7 linked regions of the Canis lupus familiaris genome follow. The protein of the gene in region 1 purifies or fractionates together with the protein of each later gene. This does not show direct contact. Links are inferred from orthologs where the notes say so. Each region holds a gene or a part of one and is shown in the gene's direction. Other genes may lie near its edges. The genes, in order: SIN3A, ARID4B, HDAC4, MTA2, SMARCC1, NR0B2 and BRMS1.

What was found.
Region 2: the proteins of SIN3A (region 1) and ARID4B purify together in Homo sapiens (affinity purification with mass spectrometry; 5 studies listed by BioGRID, with this or other methods). This does not show direct contact. The link is inferred for Canis lupus familiaris from reciprocal best matches to the Homo sapiens genes SIN3A and ARID4B.
Region 3: the proteins of SIN3A (region 1) and HDAC4 purify together in Homo sapiens (affinity purification with western blotting; 3 studies listed by BioGRID and IntAct, with this or other methods). This does not show direct contact. The link is inferred for Canis lupus familiaris from reciprocal best matches to the Homo sapiens genes SIN3A and HDAC4.
Region 4: the proteins of SIN3A (region 1) and MTA2 purify together in Homo sapiens (affinity purification with mass spectrometry; 4 studies listed by BioGRID, with this or other methods). This does not show direct contact. The link is inferred for Canis lupus familiaris from reciprocal best matches to the Homo sapiens genes SIN3A and MTA2.
Region 5: the proteins of SIN3A (region 1) and SMARCC1 purify together in Homo sapiens (affinity purification with western blotting; 3 studies listed by BioGRID, with this or other methods). This does not show direct contact. The link is inferred for Canis lupus familiaris from reciprocal best matches to the Homo sapiens genes SIN3A and SMARCC1.
Region 6: the proteins of SIN3A (region 1) and NR0B2 purify together in Homo sapiens (affinity purification with western blotting; 3 studies listed by BioGRID). This does not show direct contact. The link is inferred for Canis lupus familiaris from reciprocal best matches to the Homo sapiens genes SIN3A and NR0B2.
Region 7: the proteins of SIN3A (region 1) and BRMS1 purify together in Homo sapiens (affinity purification with western blotting; 4 studies listed by BioGRID and IntAct, with this or other methods). This does not show direct contact. The link is inferred for Canis lupus familiaris from reciprocal best matches to the Homo sapiens genes SIN3A and BRMS1.

What each region holds. Positions count from the first base shown.
Region 1 is NC_049251.1:38,743,107-38,747,261, reverse strand, and holds the start of SIN3A (paired amphipathic helix protein Sin3a), read left to right. Parts: upstream 1-1,355; 5' UTR 1,356-1,374; intron 1,375-4,155. UniProt on the Homo sapiens protein: Acts as a transcriptional repressor. Corepressor for REST. Interacts with MXI1 to repress MYC responsive genes and antagonize MYC oncogenic activities. Also interacts with MXD1-MAX heterodimers to repress transcription by tethering SIN3A to DNA.
Region 2 is NC_049225.1:4,973,367-4,977,437, forward strand, and holds the start of ARID4B (AT-rich interactive domain-containing protein 4B), read left to right. Parts: upstream 1-1,271; 5' UTR 1,272-1,533; exon of another isoform or gene 1,534-1,699; intron 1,700-2,529; 5' UTR 2,530-2,578; coding exon 2,579-2,584; intron 2,585-4,071. UniProt on the Homo sapiens protein: Acts as a transcriptional repressor. May function in the assembly and/or enzymatic activity of the Sin3A corepressor complex or in mediating interactions between the complex and other regulatory complexes.
Region 3 is NC_049246.1:49,717,733-49,721,700, reverse strand, and holds the start of HDAC4 (histone deacetylase 4), read left to right. Parts: upstream 1-1,168; 5' UTR 1,169-1,183; coding exon 1,184-1,298; intron 1,299-2,119; exon of another isoform or gene 2,120-2,319; intron 2,320-3,968. UniProt on the Homo sapiens protein: Responsible for the deacetylation of lysine residues on the N-terminal part of the core histones (H2A, H2B, H3 and H4).
Region 4 is NC_049239.1:54,563,067-54,565,975, forward strand, and holds the end of MTA2 (metastasis-associated protein MTA2), read left to right. Parts: intron 1-203; coding exon 204-432; intron 433-630; coding exon 631-720; intron 721-1,022; coding exon 1,023-1,141; intron 1,142-1,243; coding exon 1,244-1,392; intron 1,393-1,579; coding exon 1,580-1,745; 3' UTR 1,746-2,409; downstream 2,410-2,909. UniProt on the Homo sapiens protein: May function as a transcriptional coregulator. Acts as a component of the histone deacetylase NuRD complex which participates in the remodeling of chromatin.
Region 5 is NC_049241.1:41,673,012-41,676,511, forward strand, and holds part of SMARCC1 (SWI/SNF complex subunit SMARCC1), read left to right. Parts: intron 1-2,190; coding exon 2,191-2,449; intron 2,450-3,208; coding exon 3,209-3,370; intron 3,371-3,500. UniProt on the Homo sapiens protein: Involved in transcriptional activation and repression of select genes by chromatin remodeling (alteration of DNA-nucleosome topology).
Region 6 is NC_049223.1:72,630,622-72,634,425, forward strand, and holds NR0B2 (nuclear receptor subfamily 0 group B member 2), read left to right. Parts: upstream 1-1,279; 5' UTR 1,280-1,341; coding exon 1,342-1,882; intron 1,883-2,663; coding exon 2,664-2,962; 3' UTR 2,963-3,304; downstream 3,305-3,804. UniProt on the Homo sapiens protein: Transcriptional regulator that acts as a negative regulator of receptor-dependent signaling pathways. Specifically inhibits transactivation of the nuclear receptor with which it interacts.
Region 7 is NC_049239.1:51,468,946-51,473,022, forward strand, and holds the start of BRMS1 (breast cancer metastasis-suppressor 1), read left to right. Parts: upstream 1-1,277; 5' UTR 1,278-1,427; intron 1,428-4,051; 5' UTR 4,052-4,062; coding exon 4,063-4,077. Other genes in the region: B4GAT1 (beta-1,4-glucuronyltransferase 1), read left to right, coding at 172-363. UniProt on the Homo sapiens protein: Transcriptional repressor. Down-regulates transcription activation by NF-kappa-B by promoting the deacetylation of RELA at 'Lys-310'. Promotes HDAC1 binding to promoter regions.

The sequences.
Region 1 (4,155 bases):
TCACGTGTGCGCTGGCCCCAGGCTCAGCTCTGTTAAGCAGAGATGTAGGGTGGCCCCTTTCAACTTCTGGTTGAAAGTTAGGACAAACACGGCAAATTATTCAGGGAAGGATCTGGGTTAGAGTTTTTGACTTGAAGTTAGGCAAGGCTTTCTGGGTTGGACGGCGGCGAGAGAGAAAATAAATTTTCCCTTGGCTCCACCACGTACCCCTCCCACCAGAAGACAGATCTCTCTTGTCTCCAAACCGAGTATTACAACAGCCTTTGTGCCTCCCCTTGCCGCCTACAGGCACCCCTCACTCAACCAGTCCCAGAACCAATCCGGCTACTGGGATGTTGAGCATCTTACCCCGCAGCTTTGAGCCTGCGGTCCTGCGAACAGGCTGCCTGCACATGATGCCGTCTAAGAACTTTAACCAGGTTTTAAAGTCTTCTGCTGTTTGGTTCCATCTTTCCAGCCCTGATTTCCTTTCCTTTTTTAAAGATCTTATTTATTCATGAGACACACACGAGAGAGAGAGAGAGAGAGAGAGAGAGAGAGAGAGAGAGAGAGAGGCAGAGCCACAGGCAGAGGGAGAAGCGGGCTCGGTGCAGGGGGCCCGATGCGGAACCGCGGGGTCACGCCCTGGGCCCAAGGCAGACGCTCAGTCCCTGAGCCCGGGGCGCCCCCCATCCCACCCTGCAGTTCATCGCTGCAGCCGCCCTCGAAGCTCCTAAACGCTGTCCTCCATTTACCCCTCCGGTTCCTCCCCAGAAGGGACTTGCCCCTTCCTTTCTGCCTGATGAAAGCCTTAGGACCCTGCGGGGCTGCCGCGTCCCCCACGGAGACTTTCCCAGTTCGCCCCCTGCCCTGGGCTCCCAGGTCTATTTTTCTGCGCGTTGTGGCCTCGCCTGGCGCGGCCGTGGGCGCGGCACACCTGGGGCAGGTGCGGGGCCCTCGAAGGGCTCCCGGGGCCGCCGCGGCTCTCAGGGCAGGTGCCTCCCCGCGCCCCGGGGGCTCGGCCCCACTCCCGCGGCAGCCGCCTGGCCGAGGGCGGGGGGCGGGGGTCCCCGCCAGCTCCGAGGGCCCCGCAGCGCGGAGGAAGGGGGCCCCGCGCCCCAGGTCGCCGTCCGGCCGCGGGCCTCCGGGAGCCCCAGGGGGCGGCCCCGCGGGAAGGGGCCTCGGCCGGGGCCGCGCTGCCCGCTCGCCGCCACTTTAATTTATTTATTTGAGGTTGTCGGGAGCGAGGCAGCGAGGCAGCGAGGCAGCGTTCAATGAAGGGAAGGGGCGGGGCGCGGCGGCGGGCGGGCCCGGGGCTCTGACGCGAGCGCCGCGCAGCCAATGGCCCGCGGGGGGCGGTCCCCCCCATTCAGGACTCCTCGCCTGGCTCGGAAGGTATGTTAAACAGCTGCTTTTAATTTGGTCTCCCCAATGTCGGGCGTTTGGGGGGCTGGCCGGCCGGCCCGCCGCGGTGCGGGGCTGGGGGGCGCCGGGCTCCGGGCAGGCCGGGGAGGAGCGCTCGGCGCCGCCCGCCCGAGCCCGTGTGCCCCCGAGCCGGCCGGATCCGCGGGCCGGGGGGCGGCCGGGGCGCGCCGGGCAGTCGGCCTCGGTAGGTGTCGGCGGCGGCCCGGCCGGGGAGACCCCCGCCCCCGCCCCTGCGGCGCCCGTGGAGCGACTACTGTGAAGGGGGGACGGGGGCGGGGGCGGGGGGCGGGGGGCGCGCCGCCGGGGGCCGAGCCGGGCGGGCCGGGCCCACCGCGGGCGCCGGAGTTGCGGCGAGCGGAGTTGGCGAGCGAGCGGGAGCCCGCGGCTGTCCCCGCGCCGCGCAGTGCCGGCTGCCGCCCCGGGGCTCGGCTCCGGCCGCGAACTTGGAGGGGGCGGCGGGCGCGCTCCGGGGCCGCGGTTGTTATGGACTCTGGGGGCGGGGGCAGCGCCGGCCCGCGGGAGGGGCGCCGGGGGCGGGGGCGGCACCGGAAAGAGCCCCGCGCGCCGGCCCGGGCGCCCCGGAGCCCGCCAGGCCGCGAGCCCGCGCGGACCTCGGCCCGGGGGTGTGGGAGCCCCGCGGGCTCCCGGGGCGGCCCCGGCGGATGCCTCCTTCCCCGCCCACCCGAGGCCGCGGCGGCGGCGGCGGCGGCGGCGGCGGCGGTGGCCCCTGCCCCTTCCCCTCCCCCGGCTGCGCTGCTCGCCCGCCGACGGGGCGGGGGCGGGGGCGGGGGCGGGGGCTCGGCGTGCGAGCGCGCCCGCGAGGGGGTGGCCCGACTGGGGCGGTGAAGGTCGGGAACTGGGAAAACACTCTGCACGCTCGGAATCGGGAAAAGGAAATGCATCAGCGGGCGGGGAGGGGCGCGGGGGGCGCGCCTGACAGCCGGGATGGCGGCCGCGGGCTGGAGGGCGGGGCGCCGGCGCGGGGCGGGGGCCGCGGGCCGAGGAGGCGCCGGGCCCGGGCCCGCGGAGCGCCGCGCCGGCCCCGCCGCCACTCCCGGGCCTACCCTGTTTACTATGTACTCCAGCCGCCGCTTGTGCAACCCGCCCGGAGGGGAGCCGGGGGGCGGGGCCTGCCCGCGCTCCCGCCCACCGCGGGCTCCCCGGAGGGCCCGCCTCCTCTTGTCTTCCATTGGCTGCGCGAGGCTCCCCTCTCCCCTCCTCGGCCCGCCACTGGGCGACGTGCTCGCGAGCTCCGCCTATCGGAGGCCGGGCTGGAGTTTAAGTTGCTAGGATTTTTGTTTTTTTTTTTTCCGTGAAGGGCGGAGGGAGGAGTCCTGCGGCTGACGTGCGGCGCAAGGTCCCGCCCCCGCCCCTGATTGGCGCGGCGGGAGGCCCCGCCCCCCGGCCGGGCGAGCGCGGAGGGGAAGTCCACCCCTGCTCCCCGCCCCCTCCTCCAGCCTGTGTGCGCGCTCCGCACATGTGGGAGTCCCGCCTCGCTCCTTCGAACTGTCCTCCCGCCCGGAAGTCCTGGGTCTGGAGTGCTCGGCAGGGGCGGGGCGGGAAGGGGGCGAGGAGAGCCGGGGAGGCACACAATGATGCCTCTAAGGCCGGAGACGGGGTAGCTTTGCGGTGCAGGGAGGGGTTGCAGGCAGCAGTGGGTTCAGGGGTCCCGGCTTGAGGGGCTCTGCGGGGGTCGGGAGGACACGGTGGGATCTGGCCTCCCGGGCCAAGTACTTAATTTCCGACGCTGCGGCCTGGCCGTCCCCGCGCCCCTTGGCTTCCCGGAGGTCGCCCTAGACTTAAGCTTGAGAACACCGCGGACGCGGGCAGCCTGTCGCTGGGTGGCTTCATCTGAAACCCTGGGCGACCTAAGAATAGCCTGGGTGCCTTAGGCGTGGTCCAGGGCGGCTCACCCCCGGCTCCCAGAAGTCGGGGGCGGCCCATCCTGCTCGGATTCCAAGTGGCCCTTCAAGGCCAGGGGCATCGTCGCGCGGCACCCAGTCCAGGGAGCAGGGAAGGACGAGCGCCGCTTCGTCCTGAGCTCGAGCAGGCTGACTCAAGGGTCCGCTTTCGCCGGCGTGACTTATGTTCAGAGCTCCGTCCTGGGGCAGGGCTTGGCTCTCCTCCGTTCGCTACTCATGGAGCCCACGGTCCACTGCCTTGCTCTTGCGGCTTGAAGCCATCCTTGCAGTCAGGCCCACCTGTTGCCAGCGCTGGTTGCCGTGCCGTCTCCGCGGGACTGCAGAGGGACGACGAGGTAGCACCTGGGCGCAGGTTCCCCGGGGCCTGCCACTTGGGGACTGGTAGGTTGGCTTGGGGGAGTCGCCTTTTTTGCTGGAGAGCGGGAAAACTCTGGTCCCGCCCCCTCCTTTCCTGGCGCTCCTTGAGCGCCCCCCAAAGCAGGGCCAGCGTCCTTTCTCCGCCCCATTTGGGGACTTTAATAAAAGCAACCTCGGCACTGCAAGCACTTTGTCTCTGTGTGTTTGAAGCACTATAACCTACACAGAGAAGGCCTAGGGACTGCCACGAACACTTGTTGGCCGAAGGACTAGCTGAACAGCCATTCTTACCTTTCGTCACCAACTGCAGGATTTTTATCCTTTGTACGAAGTGTGGGGTGAAGGTTTATTTATGCCGAGGCCTGTCTGCTCTCCTCTTTCCGTTGGAGCGAGCCTCCAGGTCTACCCCCGGAGGTCGCAGACGCCTCACACCTCACGCTCCGCCTTCCGGAGGCTTGCCAGGGCGGTGGCT
Region 2 (4,071 bases), on another chromosome or scaffold:
TAAAGCATCACGTAACTCTCCTTTGTATTACTCACCACTATTACCAAGGTCACACTCGTGTGTCCACTTTACTTCCTGTCTGCACCGTTTTTTTTTACATGGTAGGCACTCAACAAATTTGTGAACGATTGAATGAACCAACGGAAACGCGCTAGAGGATGAAATCAGGGCATACGCTTTCACTATAAAAAGATAAAAATACCATGCAATTTCCCCCGTCCCCCACACCCCGACAATGATCTGGTTTCAAAATTGCTAAATAGTGATATACAAACGTAAGCTTGGCTGTGAAACGCAGAGTGAATCCTTCCACGCAAACTTTGGGAGATGACAGAGCTGAAGAAAACTGCCCGAGATACAAGCAATAGATTTAAATAACTTCAAGGCAGATTTTTAAGAGACTTGGCAAAACCGCTTCAAGCGATTCCTCTACTCGTACGAAGCCCGCAGGGTCAGTGAGGTTCCTGCTTCCTCTCCGCTCAGATGCCCCCTTCCGCCGCCCTGGATCACCTACCGCTCCTCCCCTTCTCTAGCAAGTACGGAAAATTCATACACAATCCGGTTCAGCATCCGGGTCCTCACCCTCCTTTCTTTCTTTCCTCTCGACCCCGCCTTCCAGCCTCCCCCGCCCTCATTTCCCATCCGGGTCCCCCCCCCCCCCCCCCCCGGCCGCCACCACAGCCGCTCACGGTTCAACGGTGATATCACAACTTTTCGCGTTGCCGGTCCGGGGAGTAGTAGTACCCAGCATCAACTTCCCACTTTATAGTTCTGACCAAGGCTCCGCCTGACGTCTACATGGGTCCCTCCCCTTGCTTCACCACAGAACTCTCCACCCTCCTCAGCCACCAGCGACACTGCATTACTCGAAGCAAGAAAATGCGCCATCCCGGTCACACTGCGCAGGCGTCGTCGCCGCCTCCCCACTGCTTTGTCGCCCCGCCTCCTCTCCTTCCCCCTCACTCCTCGTCCCACGCAGGCGCGGGGCATTGCGGGTCTTGCAGTTCTCCTGGGCAAGGGCTTGCGCATTGGCCCCAGAGGTTGGACTACACTTCCCGGCAAGCTTTGAGGAGTAACTTTCAGTTTCCATAGAAGTGGTGGGAAAATGGCGTCGTTGTTTGTATTCCGAGGACCAATAAGAATGGGATATAGGCGGGTTCTAAAGAACGCTAACCAATCCGAGGTCGTCTAAGAGGCCATCCGGGAAAGAGGTAGGGGAGGGGCAAGCTTCTAGGGGAGGGGAGAGAGAAGGGAGGGGGGGCACTGAGCGGGGGGGGGGGGAGCGATGTTTGCCCGTCAGTCGAGTCCGGAGTGAGGAGCTCGGGCGCCGGAGCGGAGGGAGAGTCTTGGGCTTAAGCTTGCCGCCGCCACGGCCACCGCCTGGACCTTTGCCCGGAGGGAGCCGCAGAGGGTCTGGCGCTGCCGTCCTCTGGAGGGCAGCGCGATTCGGGGCCCGGACCTCCAGTCCGGGAGGGATTTTTCGTCGTCCCCCCCTCCCCCCAGCGAGGGAGCCCGAGCGGCCGCCAAACAAAGGTACCAGTCGCCGCCGCGGGAGGAGGAGGAGCCGGAGCTTCAGCCTCAGCAACCGCTGGACCCGCCGCCCTTCTTCCCCCATCTCTCCCCCGGGCCTACTGGTTTTGGGGGGGAGTAGGGGAGGGAACTCTGGACGTGCCAGGGTCAGAGCTCGCCTCCGCGGAAGGTAGGGGCATTTTCCGAGGCTCTCGCTGTCTCGTGAGGGGGTCCGTTCGGGAGTCACCCGGCCCGGCCCGGCCGAGGAGCGGGGGACGATCGCTCGGTGTCTCGCCGGGCGCTGGGGTTCGGGGCCTCGGCCTCCCGGGAGCCCCCGCCCCCATGCAGTTGCAGAGTGCGAGTCGCCCCCCATCCTGGCGGCCGCACACTCAGCGGTTCAGCGGCTCTGGGCCGCGGTGGGGGGCCCGGGCCGGCACGGGGGGCCGTGCGGTCTCCCGGCCCCTCGGTCCTTTGGCGGCCCCCGCGGCCCGGCCGCCGGGGATCCCGCTCGCACTTGTCCGGTCTCCGCCCGGGAACGGGACGTGGGCAGCGGCTGTGCGGTGGGTCGTCCTGCCCGCGGCCCTCCGGCCCGCCCGGCCTCCCGCCGCCCCCACCCGGGGCCCCTGGAGCCGGGGCCTGCGCGACCCTATGGGGCGCCGAGCCGCTCGGCGGGGCCCAGAGGCCCCCGGTGGGGACAGCCGGCCCTGCGCCGGCCCCCGGGCTTGTTGTGAGTTTCTTCTCTGACAGAAATGGCGTCATTGTCGGAGACGGGAAACTCCGTCGGGTCCCGACAATGGGGACGGGAAGCTGCCGAGCTGTGTAGGTGGCTCGGTTTGCGGGGCTGGCGAGGCCGCGGGGAGCCCCCTCGTCGGCGTGTGGTGGTTCCGGGGCTGACGCCCGCTACGTTTCTTGCTTCGGGCTTCGGGCGTCGGGCTTCGGGCTTCGCCCGGTTCCCTCCGCTTCCGCCGGTGCAGAGGGGTGCCTGTAGTGTTGACTGGGTGTCTTTTGTTTCCCCTCCAGGTGCAGGTGAATCTGGTGTTTTCGCGGGGATCGCGGTCCCGGAATCATCATGAAGGTAGGATTGCTTACGGAAACCGAGCTCTGGGGTTACAGAACAGGGGGGTTTGATGGAGGCCGCGTGTGGGGCCTCCGAGTTTTGCCGAGGAAGGTGTGTTTGGTGGCGGGGTGCCGGAGCCCGTTTCCCGGAAGACGATGGGGGTCAGCTGGTGTGGCTCTGTCGGCTCTGCTGTGGAGTTGGGGCCACTTATAGGATGTCACACGGAGCATAATTCTCCCATATAGACCGTCTCTTCTTGCAGGGTAAGGCAGGAGTAATTGCATGAAATAAAGTATTTTAAAAGGTAAAACAGAAAAAGCAGGTCAAGTAATCCGACTCTAGAAACTGAACTGTATTGTGGTTCTATCGATTACACCGATGAAAGAAAATCTCGTTTATTGTGTGAACAGTGTTGTGGGTTTTTAGCAGAAGACCTATTTGGTAAGCTATGAAAATAATCTGAGTCGAGAGATTTTTGAAGAGAATCTTTACACACCTCAGTTTTTCCTTGTATTTCCTGGGATTTAGGATTATTTGGTTTATTTTTTCTTTGATCCTTTTAGTCGGTAAATTGTCAGATACTGTAATAGAACCAGTGTGGATTGATGTGGAAAACCCATTGCCAGGTTCCTCTTAAATATAAACATGTTAACTGAATGGAGGAGAGTGTGTAAAAAGTAGAATTTACTTAGTTCGTGGAAGAAATTATTGCAAGGAAAGAAAGTATAGGTTGGTTTTGGGTTTTTTTTTTTTTTTTTTTGGTATATGTAATTGAATGCTGTCAATCTTTAATACATCCGAGAATAAAAAGCCTTAGTTAGATATCTGACATGTCTAGGTTCAACTGGTGGAACTTAGAGACTAGAGATATTTTTCATTCGTGACAAATTCAGAAGTGCTTGAAAGGGTAGGGTGTGTTCACAAGTATAGAAATGGATAGAATAGTATGTGAAAATATAAATGTCTACTTTTGGTAGTTCCTTGGAATTATTTGAAAACAAGTTTTCTTTTAGGATTTTCTGCTTTTATAGTACTGCATCTAAATGAAAATTTGTAATGCTTGTGTTTATGGAAGAAAATAAAAGCTGTGACTACTTAAATATTTATCAGCTATATAAAGTAATTAAGTTTAGCTGTAGATTTTTTTTTTTTTAGATTTTTTTCTTCTTGAGTTTGGGGTGCTATAAACTGAAAATATCTGCTGAATTTTTCTGTCTCACCTTCATGTAAATGAAAAATACAATCAATGATGTTTCAGAAACAAATCCCTTTTGTTATTCACAGATGCTAGCTATAACTCTTGTGACCTGTATAAAACAGAGACAAGTGAATTTTTTTTTTTTTTTTTTTTTTTTGACAAGTGAATTTTTTAAGGAAAACCGTATATCTTCCTTGGTATTGGGTGAGAATTTCTTAAGAAAGGCATTGGGTTGAATAACATATAATAAATTCAGAAGCTGAATAAGAGCATTTAGTTTGTGATAGGTATCGCAATCTGTTGTAGT
Region 3 (3,968 bases), on another chromosome or scaffold:
GCCCGTACCAACCCAGACTCAGTGCTTCCACCATCCTCTGAAGCCCCGATTCGCCCTTGAAATCCTGTCTCCATAGCCCATTCTCCCAACTAGCAAATGCCATCAGCTGCCCGGCAAAGCATGCGCAGAAGGAGGAGTCCCTTCTGAGTGATGAAAACGTTCTAACATGGGTTCAAGGTGACGCTTGCACATCTTGGTAAATTTACTAGAAATTCACTGACTTGTGCATTTCTGAAGGGTAAAAGGCCGTGTGCTCAGTAAAGTTAGTTATTAAGTATGTGTAGAGCTTGGCTACTCCCCCTCTCCGTCAGTGACGACGGCAGCCCGGCCACCACTGGCTCGCACCTAGAACCCGCAGGCACCTCCCCACCTGTTCCTTGCTTCTGTTGTAGCCCCCTGTTCCAGCTCAGCCCAGAAGCCAGAGTCTGGTTCATAGGTAGTGTCCCCCAACACCCAAAGGTCCACGCCTTAATTCAGAATCTGTGAGTATGTGACCTAACGTGGCCAAAGGGACCTTGTAGGTGTGATTAAGGATCTTGAGATGGATGATGATCTTGAATTACCCAGGTGGGTCCAGTGGAATCATAAGGGTCCTTCAGATGGGGAGGCAGGAGGGTCAGAGTGGAAGAAGGAGTCGTGAGTACAGCTGCAGTGACTGATGGCTTTGAAGACAGGGGGACCTGGCGGCTGGGAAAGGCCGGGAGCAGATTCTCCCCTGGAGCCGCCAGAACCGTGGGATAAATCTGTGTTGTTTGGAGCCACTAAGTGTGTAGGAAGAGCCACAGGAGATGAATGCACGTGATGACCTTGTGGCGCTCCTGGAGCCCGGGCTCAGCTTTTCTGCTTCCTATCACTGTGACCTGGGCAGATTGCTCTGCTTCCCCACCTGTCCGTTTTGCACATCGGTTAAATGGGGATTAGCAGGCGGTTAGCAGTGTCCGTGTGTCCCGCTTGCTGCGTGGTTCACGCACTCGTTTCCTTTGTGGTCGCCTCCCCTCCAGGCTGTGCGCTCCGTGGAGGGCGGGTCTGGGGGCTTGTTGTGCCTGTCCCCTGCGGACTGTCTGGAGAGGCTCCAGAAGGCTGGGCGTCAGCCAGCACTCATGTGCTCAGTGTGTGAGCCTGTGGGCTGTCCCTGGGCTGGTTTTCCAGGGTGAGCACGTCCACTGTCGCCAGAGCTGGCAAAATGGCTCTGGCCACGTTCAGAGCTGAAGAAACGCCTGGTGTGACTATGTGGCCCACAGAGTGGGTGGGTCCCCAGGACCCCGGAGCATGCAGGTGCCCCCGCGGGCTTGCTGGAGGTGAGCCCAGGCTGCGGGACTTCCTCCTCGAGGGCCTGGGCCCGAGGGGGGCACATTTCAGTGGCTGGCTGGAGGCGGCGGGCAGGAGGCCCACCTCAGGCGCGCCTGGCAGCGGCGGGGGACTTGGGTGTCGGGTGGAGCGTGTTCTTTATCAGCTCCCACCGAGGAGGAGTCCACGGCACTTGCGCCCAGTGAGCAGCGTCTGTCCCCTTGGCTGTGGGTGCTTAGGACCCTCGTCTGCCCCTGGGCCGCACTTCGAAGGATGTTCTCTGGTGGGTTGGGGGCCGCTGAGCGGTGCTAGGCCCTGCCTCCCTCCTCCTCCCTCAGCATCGGGGCCACCTTCATGTTCCCCGCACTTTTCTGGGTTCGGGGCCAGGGGGCATAGGGAGCAGCTGGGCCACCCAGCCACCTCCCAGCCCTTGCATTTTCGGGGGTGGGGTGTGAGGGGCAGCAGACAGTGCACTTCTGCGGGCTGTGCAGAGGGCGCTTTTTTGTTTTTCACGGTAGAGGCTTTCCTCAGTGTTCGGCCCGTATCCAAGGGTGAGTCTCCACGAAGCTGGGCGGGTGTGTTGGCGGGACCCGTCCTCTGGCCGGTCGCTGGGCAGGGGCCTGGCGCTTCCTCGGGCCCTGGTGCCATGACCTGGCCCTTCCCTCCTGGGCTCTCGGCTCCTCCCTGGGGCGCAGGCCCGGCCCCCGCACTCCGGCCTGCAGTGTATCAGCTGTCACTGCTCCTGCCTCGGGCCAGCACCCAGCTCCCGCCCTCCGCTCGGCGCTGCTCTGGGAGTCCCTGCGTGCGGGGGGCGGGCGGGCCGTGGGGTCAAAGGCTGCCCGTAGCGCGGCCTCCCCGGCCCCGAGGTCCCTGGCCGTCCTGGCTTCCGGGCCGGGTCCTTCTTCACTCTGCATCGCCGGGCCCCTTCCCAGCTCCCAGAATCCTGCGGCTCTTGTCTCCTCGCACGATCTGCTCCTGGGAAGGATTTCGGTCATTTGGCTGTCCCCAGAGTGGAGTCTTCGGAGGAGGAGGGTAAGTGCCAGCAGCCCGTGTTCCTCACAAGCCGTTCTTCAAGAATCAAGAACGAACCCTCCTCGGCTCAGCCAGGCGGCGACTGGGTGGAAAGGCCTCTTAACCTTGTGTTTTCACAATCTAAGTTAAAGATTAATTGGACTCCTAATAATCCTGCAGAAATTCTCGACATCTCAGTTCGCATTCCCTTTCATCCATTTCTTCTTAAGAAAGCCCTGTCGCCGGACTTCAGAATTGAAATCTGCGTGGAGCAGATAACTGTCCGCCCCCACGCCTTCCGTGGTCACTTTAGGAACCGGCAGAGGCTGCACGAGCGGTTTTCAGCCGCCAAGGAGATTATTTTCGAAATGACCCTGCAGTCCGTGAAATGACTTCTTTGAAACAGGAGGCTGAGGAGGTCGGGCTGCCTGTACTCAGGTCGGGGTGTGAGCTCGGCGTCCCCAGGGGGCCCACCCGCTCCCCACCGGGTTCTCACCGGGGCACGGCGCCACCGCCTTGTTTGCTCGTCTTCCCACTCCGGTGGCGGGAGCAGCTGGTGTACAGGTCGGGGGGGCAGGTAACGTGCTGGATCCTGGGGACGGGGTGTGGCCAGTGTCCGCCGGGGCGCAAAGCGGTTTTTGCAGCCCAAGCTGCCGGGTCACTGGGTCAGGGCCCACAGCCCCCACGGAGGCCCAGCACAGGTGCCCTGCGCTGGCCGGCAGCCCCCTCGCTCAGGTTACGCAGCGTGACTGGACATGCTTTGAAGGCAGGTGTCCCCAAAGGTACTGTCCAGGAAGGGAAAGCTCTGAGCTTTCGACCTCCTCATCCACACGCAGGGCCGGCCCGGGGGGGGGTCGGGGGGTCCTGGCCCATCCTGGGGGACCGTCGCACTCCCGGAGAAGCGGCCGCGCCAGGCCCTCGGGAGGGCAGAGCATTCGGTCCTCCTGGCTTTCTGGAAGCTGGATTTTGTACCGGAGGGCAGCAGATCTGTGCTGATCCTACGAAAAGAAGGAAGACAGAGGAAACATGGTTATTTCCCCGTCAGAAATTTTCATTTAAAACTGATTCATACAGGTCAGTTTAAATGGACTTTAAGACGAAGTTTCCCGTGAGGAAGTGACGGTGGCCGAGTGGAGCTGGGTGAGTGGGTCGGGCCATCGTGCTTCCTCGTCCTGGCTCTGTAGCCCCAGGAGTCCTTCATCCCTCCCGTCAAGAACTAGGTCTTAGCAAGCCAACGCCTGCGCCCCTTGGGGTGACATTTTACCATAGGAAGGGGCCCCGCATTGGTGGGGTGAGGCTGAGAGGCTGGGCCCAGGCTGGGGACACCTGCAGGGGGCAGGGGGCCAGCACGGTCCCCCGGGGAGGGCCTTGCCCCGTGCCCCACCTCCCCGCCACCTGCACCCACCCGGACCGCGTGTGAACCTTCTTGACACGTGAAGTGCCCTCTGTCCCTGAGAAGGCTGGGAGGTAGGATTTGGGAACGCCGGTCCATCCTCTATCGCCAGGAGACCCAAGAGCCCCGGGTGTATCACTCCAGGTGCAAAGTGGAGTGAGACACTGTCCCGGGCGGGTTTCTGCACGGCTCACCTGCCCCCGGGGCCCCGGGCCTCTTGCCCAGAGGCCAGTAGGGGATGCGGGGAGTCGCGGCCCGCACCCGACGCACCCTGTCC
Region 4 (2,909 bases), on another chromosome or scaffold:
AGTACCACATCAGGCTCCTTACAGGGAGGCTGCTTCTTCCTCTGCCTGTGTCTCTGCCTCTCTCTCTGTATGTCTCTCATGAATAAATAAAATCTTATGCTAAATAAGATTTCAGGCAGGAATAAATTGCTTTTTGCAGAGAACAGAAAAAAGGGAGCCTCAGTGACCATCTGTGTTCTCCCTTTTTCCCATGTCTCTTTCAGGAGCCACACTCGAGGGGTCATCTGTCTAGACCTGAAGCCCAAAGTCTCTCCCCCTATACGACCAGCGCCAACCGGGCCAAGCTGCTGGCTAAGAACAGGCAAACATTCCTGCTCCAGACCACAAAGCTGACCCGACTGGCCAGACGCATGTGCAGGGACCTGTTACAGCCGAGGAGGGCCGCCCGACGACCCTATGCCCCTATCAATGCCAATGCCATCAAGGCAGAGTGTAAGGGCAGGAGTGGTGGGGTTAGTGGCAGGTCAGGATACTCTGGCTGGAAAGCAGAGCAGAGACCAGTGTTTCTCTGGATGTTTAATGACAGGGATACCAGGCCACAGCGCTTGGGTGGGAGAATAGATGTGGCTCCTGGCCATAGGAGAGGCCTGAATAGCGAAGCCCTTTCGAGTTTTCCTCTTTGTTCTTCAGGCTCCATTCGACTTCCTAAGGCTGCAAAGACTCCATTGAAGATTCACCCTCTGGTGCGGCTACCACTGGCAACCATCGTCAAAGATCTGGGTAGGTTAGGGTATGAGGAACCCGTTAGGTGGTTTCAGGCTCACGTGGTTTCAGGCTCACAGTCATCTTTTTACCATCAAAATCCAAAGAGATTTAGTTTAATAGTTTAACAGCTGGTACTTTTGTATGTTAATAATGGTTTTCATAAGCTATCCATAGTGAATGCTAAGATCACACTCACGTGATCCTTGCTTGCCAGATCCCTCCCACCATCACTGCCTTTGGGGATGCCCAGGGAAACTACATTGAGAATAAAAAGCATGAAAGTTCTAAGTTTTCTCTTATTTTTTTTAATCTGGCAGTGGCCCAGGCACCTCTGAAACCAAAAACACCTCGGGGTACCAAGACCCCAATCAACAGAAACCAGCTGACCCAGAACCGGGGTCTGGGGGGTATTATGGTGAAACGGGCCTATGAAACTGTGAGTTAACAGCGGGAGTGGGCAAGGCTGATTGGGTGGGCATTTATGTCTGATAAGGATCCATGAGTCCACTCTCATTGTGTGCCCCCTCCCCCTTTCCAGATGGCAGGAGCGGGGGTCCCCTTTTCTGCCAATGGAAGGCCTCTTGCCTCAGGGATTCGCTCAAGCTCACAGCCAGTTGCCAAGCGTCAGAAACTAAACCCAGCTGATGCCCCCAATCCTGTGGTGTTTGTGGCCACAAAGGATACCAGGTACAGAGCCCACCATGGGAGGGGCTGAGAAGTTGAGAACCCACTTTGGGGGGTAAGGATAATAGTATTGGTGTGGGATGGGGATGTCAGGAAAGAATGGGTCCGAAGGCAGAACTGGATTGTGGAACGTGGGGTTTCACCTTGAGAGCCTTAGCCTTCTTTATTCTATTCTCCTTTTCCTGGCCAGGGCCCTGCGGAAGGCTCTGACCCATCTGGAAATGCGGCGAGCTGCCCGCCGACCCAACTTGCCCCTGAAAGTGAAGCCACCACTGATTGCAGTGCGGCCCCCAGTCCCACTGTCTGCACCCCCACATCCTGCCAGCACCAATGAGCCCATTGTCCTGGAGGATTGAGCATCTGTGGGGGAAGGGAGGTGGCTGAAAGCCAGAGGGTGGGTGCCCAGGGCATCCAACCTCCCTTCCCCTCTAGTAGCAAAGGGAATGAGGAGTGAGGGAGGGAGCAAGTGTTTGTCCTTGGAGGGGTTGGGCGCCCTCTGGTGTTACCACTTGGAGGCCTGTCCCCTTTCCACGTTTTCTCCACTTCTGGTGGTGGAGGGCACACTGCAGGAACTTGACCCACTGTGGGAACCTAACCTGTTTTGGGGGTTAGGACCCACAGTCGTCTTGGACAGTTTTGGGGGGAGGGTTTTTTAATTTTTTAAAAATTTTGCCTCCCTTTGTGAAAACGGGATGGGGAGGGGAAGGGTAAATTGACAGGAGGTGGTGGTAGGGGGAGGGGGGCGTGCACTGCCATGACTGCCATGTCTATCCTTTTTTTTTTTTTTTTCCTAATGGGGGTTTCTCTTCCTGTCCGGTGTCCGGACTTTCCTAATTGGAGTTTGAGGCCCCTAAGCTGGCATCAACCCCAACCCATGTTCTCTATTCCTTCCCTCCCTGTGCCCCCTCCGCCTTTTGTACGCCAATTCTCAGAAATAAAGATCTTTTGTCCATTTTTTTAACCTCGGATTCTGTAATTGGTTCTTATAGTAACAAATAAAAAGCTGTTTTCTTCAGCTTCTCCTGGCTCAGCTGTTCTCTGCCATGGGTGTGTGTGTGGGTGTGTGTGTGGGGGGAGGACAGTGACTTAAATTGGAAAAATAAAGGACAATGGGTGATAAAGGAGATACAGATGGGGCTTGCCTGGGAACAGCTTTAGGAGCTAGGCAGCCTGTTCCGGCTAGCTTTCTCGTGGGACCCAAACTGCTCCCCAGCTCCCTGTGGTGCTGGAACCCAGGCTCCCTCTTGGCACACAGATTGAGAACGGTTGGAATGGATGGACCCTGGATGGTTGGTGGCTTCCACAGGAAGGGAGGTGGGAAGATGCTTTTTCTTCTATTTTCCAACCCTTAACCTCTCTTTTAGGAAATTCTGGGAGTTGCTAGAGATCAGGGCAAGATGTAGCCTACTTGGGGGGCAGGGTGCTGCACTCTTACCACCCAGCCCTGTGGTATGTTTGCAGATTGCTGCTTCAGGGATTCCCAAGACCAGCCTCAGCACCTGCCTTGATATTGAGGGCAC
Region 5 (3,500 bases), on another chromosome or scaffold:
AACAGTAGCGGTGGAAAATAGTAAGCATCAAAGAGTTCCTCATGGTTTGCATGTACCTGATAGCTTTCTTTTACATGCCAGTGAAGAAATACCTTTTTTTCAGTGTAATTTTAACTACATTTTAGATGAGTATGTCTTCCAATTAAAAACAAACACTAAAAACAGTTGTTTTGAGGAAAGTCTTTTCTTATAGGCAGTTGAAACAAAAAATGAGTGCCACAGCCTCAGCTTTACATTTGGAGCTGTACTCGGAGCACAAGTCATGTCCAGGGGGGATGGCTGTGCAATGGCTGGGTGACCCTTAAAGGACAGCTTCCTGGGAATGGACAGCTATGTTGTTGGCTTTAGTTCATAATATTTCAATAACTAGGAATAGTGTTTGGGATCTGGATATTCCTCAGACTTGAAAGAATAGGGCACGGGGTGGAGTGGGACAGAGTCCCAATCCTGTTTGGACTTAATTTCATAAGATATTTATGAGCAAGGTTATAGTTTTAGGCAGGAGAGAGACCGTGTCATGTGTGAGACATGACTCATTCTGGTAATAGGAGAAGGATGAATTTAAGGATAGAGAAACAGGGAATTCTAAGAATCCAGGTAAGGAGCAATGAAGGGACCCAGGTCATAGCAGAAAGAATGAAGGTGTTTTGTAGTACTATAAAATGTTTGCTAATATATCAGCCCTCTCCTTCCTTCCCAGCCAGTCTGCCACCATGTTCTGTCTGAAAACATCTTCAATTTCCTGTTATGTAATACTACCATCAGTGCCCAGGCTTGAAACCTCACTTTCTCTGCCTAATGCTTTTCTCGATACTGATTCTTTCTTGAATTTTGCCTGTCAGAGGATTTCTTAGTTGTATTCTGGAAAAAGAACTTCCTGAACTATATTTATTCTGGCTGAGGAAATTAAAGAAAGAAAATTTTTTTTAAATAAGTTTTTTTGAAAAGACTCTGGTATAGTATCCCCAAAAATCTCCCTATAATCAGAAGCATAAAATGGCCCCAATTATATCTTTCTGGCCCTGAGGATCCTAAGGAAAGAGATTGATTTTTCTTTTTTGTTAAAATCTGGGTCTTTTTTCTAAGTAAGTCCTTCTAGAACGATCTGAGGCCACTAGCTGTCCAGAGAAAACCCAGAATTAGCCTTGTCTTTCAAGGGATTAAATGAATAAGACAATTCGCTAATGTGAGTTGTGAGGTGTCCTCTACCTCTCTAGTAAGAGGACAAGCCTGGGGCAGCAGTTGGAGCCCTGGGTTAAGAATTCACCTTCATAAACGTAGAAAGAATCCTTATCATTGCAAGCTCATCTCATAGCATAGATGAGCAAATCAGGCTCTGGATCTGTTTTGCATTGTAGAATGTTCAACAGCATCCATGGCCTCTACTCACTAGATGCCAGTAGCACCTCCCCAGCTGTGCCAAGCAAAAATGTCTGCAGATATTACTAAATGTCCCCAAAGAGGCAAAATTGTGCCTGGTGAGAATCATGTGAGAATAGCAGCTTTGATCAACTACTGAATACCTTCTTTTTATCCATTTCCTTGATTTTCTTCATAACGTTGTGCCTCTCTCCCCTTTGGAGACTACTTTTACTCTTTTTTGAAAGTTGTTCAGCATTTTTCTCTGACAAATTATGAATTTTTAAATTGAGTATTTATATATTTTATAAATTTCAGTATTAGTTTCTTAATTTTTAACAAAAAAGACATGGAATTTGAATGGGATTGTGTTGAACCTGTTACTGAGCTTGGAGAGAGATGATATCCTAATGTATTTGTTCCCTACATACTTCATTTTTGTGGTATTTTAAATACCTTTTTTTTTCCAATTTAAAGCTTTTCATTGAAATTTTTTTCTATTCCACATCTCTCCTGTGACTTTGTTAAACCTTTTAGTTTTAGTATCTTTTTGTAGATTTCTTTGGATTTTCTATATAAACGATTATATGTATTAATGAAAGACAGTTCTTCCTTTTATGTGTGTATGCTTTTAATTTTTTTTTGCCTGATTGAGATTTAACGTAGTTAGGAAAGCAGTCAAACCTACCCATTTTCTTGTGTGCCATATAATCATTTTCATTATTTTTTTTTTAAACACACCCAAAGAACAGTCACAGGCTTCTGATACTATTACATATCTTGGTTCCTTGTTACCTAATCCTAAAGCTCCTGGGTTTTTTTCTGTTACAGGCCCTGGAGATGTACAAGGATGATTGGAACAAAGTGTCAGAGCACGTCGGAAGTCGTACTCAGGATGAATGCATCCTCCACTTTCTGAGGCTTCCTATTGAGGACCCATACCTTGAGAATTCGGATGCTTCCCTGGGGCCCCTGGCCTACCAGCCTGTCCCTTTCAGTCAGTCTGGAAACCCAGTCATGAGCACTGTTGCTTTTTTGGCATCTGTGGTGGACCCTCGTGTGGCATCTGCTGCAGCAAAAGCAGCTTTGGGTATGGACTTGTTTGAACCATGTCAGCAACATAGTAGTTTCAAATAATGGTTTAGTGCTTTCTTTCATATATATGTTGTCTCAGATTTATGTGTTATCCGCTGCTATGTTAATTTCAGTTATACAGAAGAAAATCACATATTACCCTCTCTATATTATATTGAAAAGTATTATAATATTTATTTATTTGTTTTTAAAGATTTTATTTGTTCATGAGAGACAGAGAGAGAGACAGAGACACAGACAGAGGGAGTAGCAGGTTCCTCCCAGGGAGCCGGATGCGGGACTCGATCCCAGGACTCGAGAATCACACCTTGGGCCGGAGGCAGGCATTAAACGGCTGAGCCACCCAGGGATCCCCACATTATTGGATTTTATTGTAATTGGAACTTTCTCACACTATAAAAACCCTTTCTTGACTTTCTGGCTATTTAATCCTTGTTGTTTGCTTTAATATCAGTCTAGCCTGCAGAGGTAGATTAGTTTGGGCAGAAATTTTGATTGTTACTGATGGAAATTTAGAAATCTGTGTTATTTATATAATAAGATATTATAACATGTAAGCTAAAACGTAGAATCATCGAATTTCTTCAGTATACATGATTGTCTCATTTGGCATTGTTGTTTTGCTGGGATAAGACTGAGTCCCCAGAAAGATCACTATGCAAGACACTAATATGTTAGATTTTCTAGTGGTTTACGTTAAAGCAAAATCTTGTATAAAACCAAGTCCCACTGTTCCGTTTTTATTCTTGAACAGAGGAGTTTTCTCGGGTCCGAGAGGAGGTCCCATTGGAATTGGTTGAAGCTCATGTCAAGAAAGTACAAGAAGCAGCACGAGCCTCTGGGAAAGTGGATCCCACCTACGGCCTGGAAAGCAGCTGTATTGCAGGCACAGGACCCGATGAGCCAGAGAAACTTGGTGAGTTATGGCTGCCCCCGAGGACAGGAGTAATAGATGTTGTATTTTCCTGTCAGCTTCCTGAAGTAATTGGGTTTGTTTGCACTTAAAAGGGAGAATAACAATTAGTAATAACTTGTCCCTTAAGATT
Region 6 (3,804 bases), on another chromosome or scaffold:
GGGAAACTCCTCAAGATGGCGGATACGCCAAAATGGCTGGGGTTCCTGTCACCACCTCCACTTGGGACGCCAATGGACCAATGACCTGCTGACAGCTTGAGCAGACCCTTACACCTCTCCTTTGGACTTCCCCAACCGAACCCAATGCCCTTCAAACCCCAGAGGAGGAAGTCACCTTTGACTGGTCGAATTGCAATCCTTCCTTTGCATAGTGAGGGTCACTCTGACTGGTTGGATTGCAATCCTTCCTTTGCATATGAGCCAACCAATAGGAAACCGTTCTGCCTTACAACGTTATGTAAACCCCCTACCACCTTGTCTTGGCGCGACTTCCTCGACTCACTCTCTTTCCCCCGTGAGTCGTGGAACCTCGCCCGAGGGTGCCTGCAATAAAATCTGTTCTTGGACCCTCGCTTGCCTTGGCGGTCTCATTTCCATCTAGTTACTAAAAAACTTAACATGACCTTGGGCAAGTCACTTCACCTCTTTCAGTTTCAAAAAGTAAGAATTTTGCCTCATGGGGAAGCTCTGAGTATTAGAATGGAAAGTGCCTAGCACACAGTAGGTGCTCAATAAATAGCAGCCAAACTTTATTCTCATTCTGTGAGGGCTTCTCAGCAGAGACAGCCTTTTGGGAACTTTAGAAATCCAGGCTAAGGAGAGAGAAGTTCTTAGGTACCTTATTTCTGGAGGGGCCCCAGAACTGAGTCGGGAGAGGGAGGCCTCCTGGCCTGCACAGTGGGCAAAGTCCTTCCAGCCCCCCAGGGTCCTGGCTCCGTTCCCGCAGCCTGTTCCTTACCAACAACAGGAGCAGAGCCCCAAGGTTAGGCAAACAAGTCCCTGATAAGGCACTTCCAGGTTGGGCCTTGCATTCAAGGCTCGTCCAGCTCCGGGGCTGGCCTCCCAGCTTAGCGCCAGTCTTGCAGGCACCAATAGGGACACCTGCAATGGCCACCTGCTGATTGTGCACCTGAGGCCTTGGTGCCTCGGTACAGCCTGGGTTAATGACCCTGTTTATCCACTTGAGTCATCTGATAAGGGGCAGCCGGGCCAGCGGGCAGGCAGCCTTGTGCCCTGCACAGGCTGCTTCATTGACTGAAGTGATATCAGGGCCACGTGGAACTCCCAAAGCCCCCTCCCCCGCCACTTCCCCACCAATCCTGCAGGGTCAGTGCGTGTTTTTTTTTTTCAATGAACATGACTTCTGGAGTCAAGGTTGTCAGGCCGTCCCTCCTGCCCCCACCCACCGTCCCTCCCACTGGGGGAATATAAATAGCACCCAGCACACAGCAGAGGGCAGAAGCGGGAGAGCTGGGAGGAAGAAGGAGCAGATCCCCAACCATGAGCTCCAGCCAGCCAGGGACCTGCCCGTGTCAGGGTGCTGCAGGCCGCCCAGCCATTCTCTATGCACTTCTGAGCCCCAGCCTCACGGCCAGGCCCCCAGTGCCCCCGGTTCAGAGTCGCTGCTTGTGCAGACAGCACCGGCCCGTCCGGCTGTGTGCCCCGCATCGCACCTGCCGGGAGGCCTTGGATGTTCTGGCCAGGACAGTAGTCTTCCTCAAGAACCTGCCGTCCTTCTGCCAGCTGCCCCCTCAAGATCAGCAGCTGCTGCTGCGGGTCTGCTGGGGCCCCCTCTTCCTGCTGGGGTTGGCCCAAGACACTGTGACTTTCGAGGTGGCTGAGGCGCCGGTTCCCAGCATACTCAAGAAGATCTTGCTGGAGGAGCCCAGTAGTGGTGCACACAGCGGCCAGCTGCCCGATCGGCCCCAGCCCTCACTGGCTGCCGTACAGTGGCTTCAGTGCTGCCTGGAGTCCTTCTGGAGCCTGGAGCTGGGCCCCAAGGAATACGCCTACCTGAAAGAGACCATCCTCTTCAATCCTGGTGAGCTTCCAGACATTCCTGGATGGGGACCCAGGCAGGGAAGGCATCTTCTAAGGGCTTGACACCCGTTTTCTCTTTGGGTCCTCATTATCCCCAAAAGTCACCTCCCAGAGAGGTTAAGTGTTTTGCTGAAGGTCACACAGCCTCGGTAGGGGCAAAGCAGGGATGGGAACTCAGGTTTATTCCCTCCAGAGACTGGTCCATGCCACTCTGCCTAAGAAACTTGCCCTGACTGTCAGGGAAGGTGAGCAGACACAACTCTGCCTCTGTCACAGGTAAAACCCTGTGGGTTCAGAAAGACCCCATGGAGAAGAATGAAAATGTGAGATGAGAATTCCTCATCAAAAAGCCCTCGTAGAATGCATAAATGATGGTAATTAATTATAGTGATAGTAATGAATATTCATATTACATTTACCATATATTAGGCCCAATTATAAGGGTTTTGAATATACTAGCTGACTTAAACTTCATAACATGCCTAGGAGATAGGTATTATTATCCCCATTTTACAGATGAGAAAACTGAGGCACAGATATTAACATATCTGAGGTCATACAGCCAGTGAGTGACAGCATGGGATTCAAACCCGGGCTGCCTGGCTCTTAACCATTACTCTGGGCTGCCCCATAAATGGATGGATAAATAAAGTGATAAACACATAAATGGAGGAGGTAGTAATGGGGCCTCAAAGGCCAAGCCAGTGACCTCCGGTCTTGGGCCAATATTGCTGCCTGGGAGTGGGGTACTCACCCGCCCTCTTCACCCTCTCTGCCCACAGGCTTGCCAGGCCTCCACGCCTCCTCCCACATCGGACACCTGCAGGAAGAGGCTCATCATGCGCTATGTGAGGCCCTGGAGCCCTGGTGCCCAGCAGGCCAAGGCCGCTTGGCCCGTGTCCTCCTCACAGCCTCCACCCTCAAGTCCATCCCGCCCAGCCTCCTTGGGGACCTCTTCTTCCGCCCTATTGTTGGAGACATTGACATCGCTGGCCTCCTTGAGGACATGCTTTTGTTGAGCCAACCTGTTCCAGCCCAGGCAGAGATCAAGTGGAGGTTGGGCAAAGGCTGGCAGCACTGATTTGGCCCAGCTGTCCCCAGGGCTACCTGTTGCCCCCAGAGGGAGCAAGTTTGTACAGGCAGCACTCAGCCTCCCTGGAACAAGCCTGTCCTGCCCCAGAGAGATGGGCTAGGGGCACCCCCCACCTCACTCACCACACGGCCCCCACTGGCCTTTCTTGGTTTGACATGGCGCTCCAGCTGTCTGGAACTGGAGTGGTCCTCTGGCTTCTGGGCTAAGACTCCTGACCCCTTCTGAGATGGGGATGGCAGTTAGGTTGCTCAATGGGACAAGTCCTACTGACTTTGTACAGAAATGATTTAAGTTATTGGTTTTTGTAATAAAAGGCATGATACCCTTGGAGCCTGACACTGTAATTTGTACATGGAAGGGACTGTCCCACCTCCAGGGCCCACTCTGCCACTATCAGGAGTTCAGGAGGAAGGAATCATAAGGAGTGCTGGAGCCAGCCCTCAGGGAACTGGGATATTAATTTTTCAGGGCAGGATGATTATTTCATCTTGAGGGATGAGATTTATTTTGCACAGGGACTAGGATCAGTTCAGGCCCCCTTACTTCCTTGCCTTTATCTTTAGGGCTGAGAGTGTCTCTTCTTGATCCCCTTGTGGGGATCGCTAACCCCTCTCTTGGCTTCTGAGCCATACAGGCTCCCTCTCACCTCAACAAAAGTCAGATCACAGCCAGTAAGGAATATGAAGCAGCCCATTCTCAAATTTAAACAGGCAAGGTCAAGGTCACGGGAATTTCTGCAGTTTGGGATCATTCACTTGCCCATTCCTGCAGATGACAGTAGAAGACAGTCCACTGCTGTCCCAATGGGAGGGGCAAGGGAACCCAGGGCT
Region 7 (4,077 bases), on another chromosome or scaffold:
GTGGTCCTGGATGGAAAGGAGGCAATGTGGCAGGATAGTCCTAGTTGAGGAAGTGGTTGGATGGTGTAGATGCCTCCAGAGGAGTAGGGATGCTGGAGAGAGGCTTCAGGGATGCCAGTCTCAGCCCTAGAAATGTCATCCAACTTCACTGACCTGTCTCTCCTCCAACAGGCCTGTGAGCTGCACGTGGCAGGATTTGATTTCGAGGTGCTGAACGAAGGTTTCCTGGTTCATAAGGGCTTTAAGGAAGCTTTGAAGTTCCATCCCCAAAAGGAGGCAGAAAATCAGCACAATAAGATCCTTTACCGCCAGTTCAAACAGGAGTTGAAGGCCAAGTACCCTGACTCCCCTCGTCACTGCTGAGGCCCTCCCTCCCCTAGTCGGAGAAGTCTCAGCCTTTTCCCTCCTTAGGCTGTCCCTCAGTCCTGACAGGGATAATCAATGTCACTCCACTTTTACCGTGGTAGCTGTGGTGTTGGAACACTGGACTTGAATATGGGGTGCTGGGATCAAGTCCTAGCTTTACCACTAACTAGCTGTGTGGCCTTGAGCAAATCCCATTTCCTCTCTGAGCCTCAGTTATCCCATCTGTAAAAGGGGAGGTGAAAATACCTACCTCACAGAACTGTTGGGAGGCTCAGATGAGATGCTATATGTGAAAACATTCTGTAAGCTTCGTACAAATGTGAAGTATTATTAATATTATTACAGTATTATTGTTATTATTATTAACAATCTGGGGTGGGTGAGCAGTCGGAGAGCAAAGAGTATGAATGGGGCAGACTGAGAAGTCTGAGTACTTAACAAAATGGACTTTTTGGAAGAAATCAGATAAAGGCGCTGAATTTAGTTCTTAGTTTTGGGGCAGAAAACTAAACTTCCTGGTTCTTCCAGGCCTCCACCCTCGGGAGCTCTGGGGAAAGGAAGGGTCTGCAGGTTCCGTGCCAAATCTGTGCCGTCCAACAGACTGGGTTATTTGCCTACCAACGACCATGTGTAAATAAATGAGTGTTCACACCTACAGCTGGCTCCATGACTCTCCTGGACCTGGCGGGCAGAGGGGGGGGGTCGCAGCTTCTTCCCTTCCCCGGGCGGGGGGCACAGGGGTGGGGAGGAGGTTGCTGCGGCCCAAGAGGCGCCGACCGCACAGCAAGGAAACCACGGGGGTCTTTTCCGCCAGCCGGCCGAAACCCTGCGTGAATGTCGGCCGGTTGCTATGGAGACCGGCCCCGCGGTATCCCAGCATGCTTCGCCGCGAGCTGCCTAATTGTGAATTTCGCGACCGGCGCCTCCTGATGACGTATGCGGAAGTGCAGCGGGCCCCGCCTCCCGGAGTAGAGGGACTGGCGCGTCGTTTCCGGGAGCCCGGCAGCCGCGGGCACCTCTCAGGGAGTTTCAGAAGTCAAGCTGGAGGCCCCCTCCCCACGGTGCGTAACGCTCCTCAGGGCACCTGGTTCGGCCTCTCTGGCCAGTCGGTCGGAGCTGGGCCAATCAGGGCCGAAGCGGAGACCTAACCGGCCGGACGCGTGCGGCGCCGCGGGGCCGCTGTTGGCCGCCGAAGAGGCAGTGACTCCCCCGCCCGCGGCGCCGGCGCAGACGGGAATGGAACGGAGCGGGAGGGTCCTGGCGCCCCGCGCCGCGCAGGGGTCTGGGTGGGCTCTCTCCAAGGACAAGAATCGGCCTTCCGTGGAGGTCCGCCCCGAAATGCTCACTTTCTAAAAATATAAATTGTGTGTGTACAGCGCCTTATACTTTGCTTTTCCATCCCCTACGCCTTGCAATCTTTAGAACGCTCAGAGTAGCAATGGTTATCCTCTTGGTTAGCCTCTTTTTGCACCTGGGGTAAGGAGGGGAGGTTGTGATTTAATGTTGCTCCCTCAGTAGAATCAGAGACAGCTGGAGACAAAGGAAATATATATAATTTTACAATGAAGAGGAATTGCGAAGTTTGGGAACTGCAGGAACTCAGTTCCTGCTTAAGAATGGGAAAGATGAGGTTGGTTTGGAGAACTGAGGTTTTCGGCTCAGGTTCACTTGTGAAATCATTGAAGAATGAGACTAAACTGAGCCGCGAGACAGTTAATTATACACAACTCAAATTGTGTCAAGGGCTCCCCGCAGGGAAAATTTATGCGGGACTCCCGGATCCCAGGACCACGCCCAGAGCCAAAGGCCGACTCAACTCCTGAGCCACCCAGGCGTCCCAGTGTGTCAAGGAAAGTTAACAGAATACTTTGGGTTTGCTACCACTACAGGGTCCTGGGGCAATCAAGAAGTAAAAGCTGCCCTGAAAAAGTGTGCTTTGTTTAATTTGTATTTGCATATCCACCAGTTGTGAAGTGAAGTAAGTACTGTGCTGGGTGAACGAGGTGCATGTGCATCCCCATCCTGGTAAGGCTTACAGCCTGATTGGATAGACAGACGTGAAAACGGCAAATAGAGAGGAGATGTAAACAAGTAGAGCTTCCTGGAGGGAGTGGTGTCTATATCCATCTAAAGGACTACAGTACCCTGCTCAGAGAAGTTGGAAGAACATCACAGTGAAATCGAAGCCTTCAGTAGGTAGAGATTAACTGTTGGGTGGACTGTTTAGTCTTCCTCATAATTGATCTCTTGGCAGCATTTGGCACTATGATCGTACTTCCTTCTGAAATTCTTTCTCCCCATGACTGTGCTTCTCTTCCTCTGTTTCTTGCTAATTTCCTTCTCCTTTGCAGGGCTTTCATCACCTGGCCCTTTGGTGGCCCTGGGAGTTCTATCTTGGACCTCTTCTCACTCCACACATTTTGCCTTGCTGGTTGTGCCTTCTCCCAAGGCCTGAAGCACTCACTATATGCCGATGACCAGATCTCTGCACCCCAGATTTCTCTCTGAGGCTTAGACTCATGTACCCCCACCTCTGCCCCTTCCCTCATTCTAGAGTCTTTGCCCATGCTATTCACTCTGCTTGGAATGTTCCCTCTCCAGCCATCTCAGCTCATCTGTCTGCAAGTCCTCCCTATTGCTGCAGCAAGGATCTTCCTCTGCAAGCCCTCACTGTTGGAGCAAGCTCCAGGTTCCAGTGAGATGCCTCTCCCATATGTCCTCCAGTCTTAACCGTTCTCATACCACAGTACGGTCTGCTTATTGCCTGTCTCCCAGGAACCTACAAACTCCTTGAGATCAGAGACTGTGTCTGTCTGCTCCATCGTGCCCAGCATCTGACCATAGCATCTGACAGTACCTGGCATATATTAGGTCTTCAATAAATCTTAGATGAGTAAATAAAGAATGATTAATAGTGTTCATTGTTCCTGAGAAGTCAACGAAGATAAGCACTAAAAAATACTGGCATTGGACACAAGGTGGACATCGGTTGATGCCACAGAATTCACTTCAGCTGAGGGCAATCATAGAGATATGGAATGGAACCTCTGGTTAGTGAAAGAGTAGGAACAGCCAGAGCCTTGGGAAAGGTAGCTGTGAGGTAGGAAATGGGGAGTGGTTAAGTGGAATAGGGCGAGGTTTTGTGTTCTGCTATTTCTAAATGGGAGACAATACCCGAACACATCTAAAATTTCATGGGTAGAAGCTGTCAAGAGGAAGGATTGGAGAAACAGTGAAGATGGGGGTACTGGTAATATGAGGCTCCAGAGAAAGCAGAAGGACATAGGCGTTGATCCAGAACACAGCGAGAAAATGAGGATTGCAGAGTGTTCTCAGGATGAGAAGTGGATGGCATTCCAGCTGAAAGGATCAATGGACGGGGTGGGGAGTATGAAGGCATGGCGCACTTAAGGATGGTGGGGTAAAGGAGCTGGCTCAGTACTTCAAGTCCAGTCTGTGCAGGCCCTTAAACACCCCAGCCACGAGTGCGGGCCCAGTCCCAGAGGCAGTGGGGAATCCATCCTTGGTGTTTCCCAGCTTCTGGACCATCACCTTGGCCAGCATTCCCCAGATTGGGATCACCAACAATGTCCAAGATTGTGAGCGTTTCTGTGGCTCCCAGGCTTCTGGGAGATATTTGGGCAGGGCTTGGTTTGACTCCCCACACGGTCACTTTCTCACTCAGAACTGAGGGTGATGATAAGTGATGGC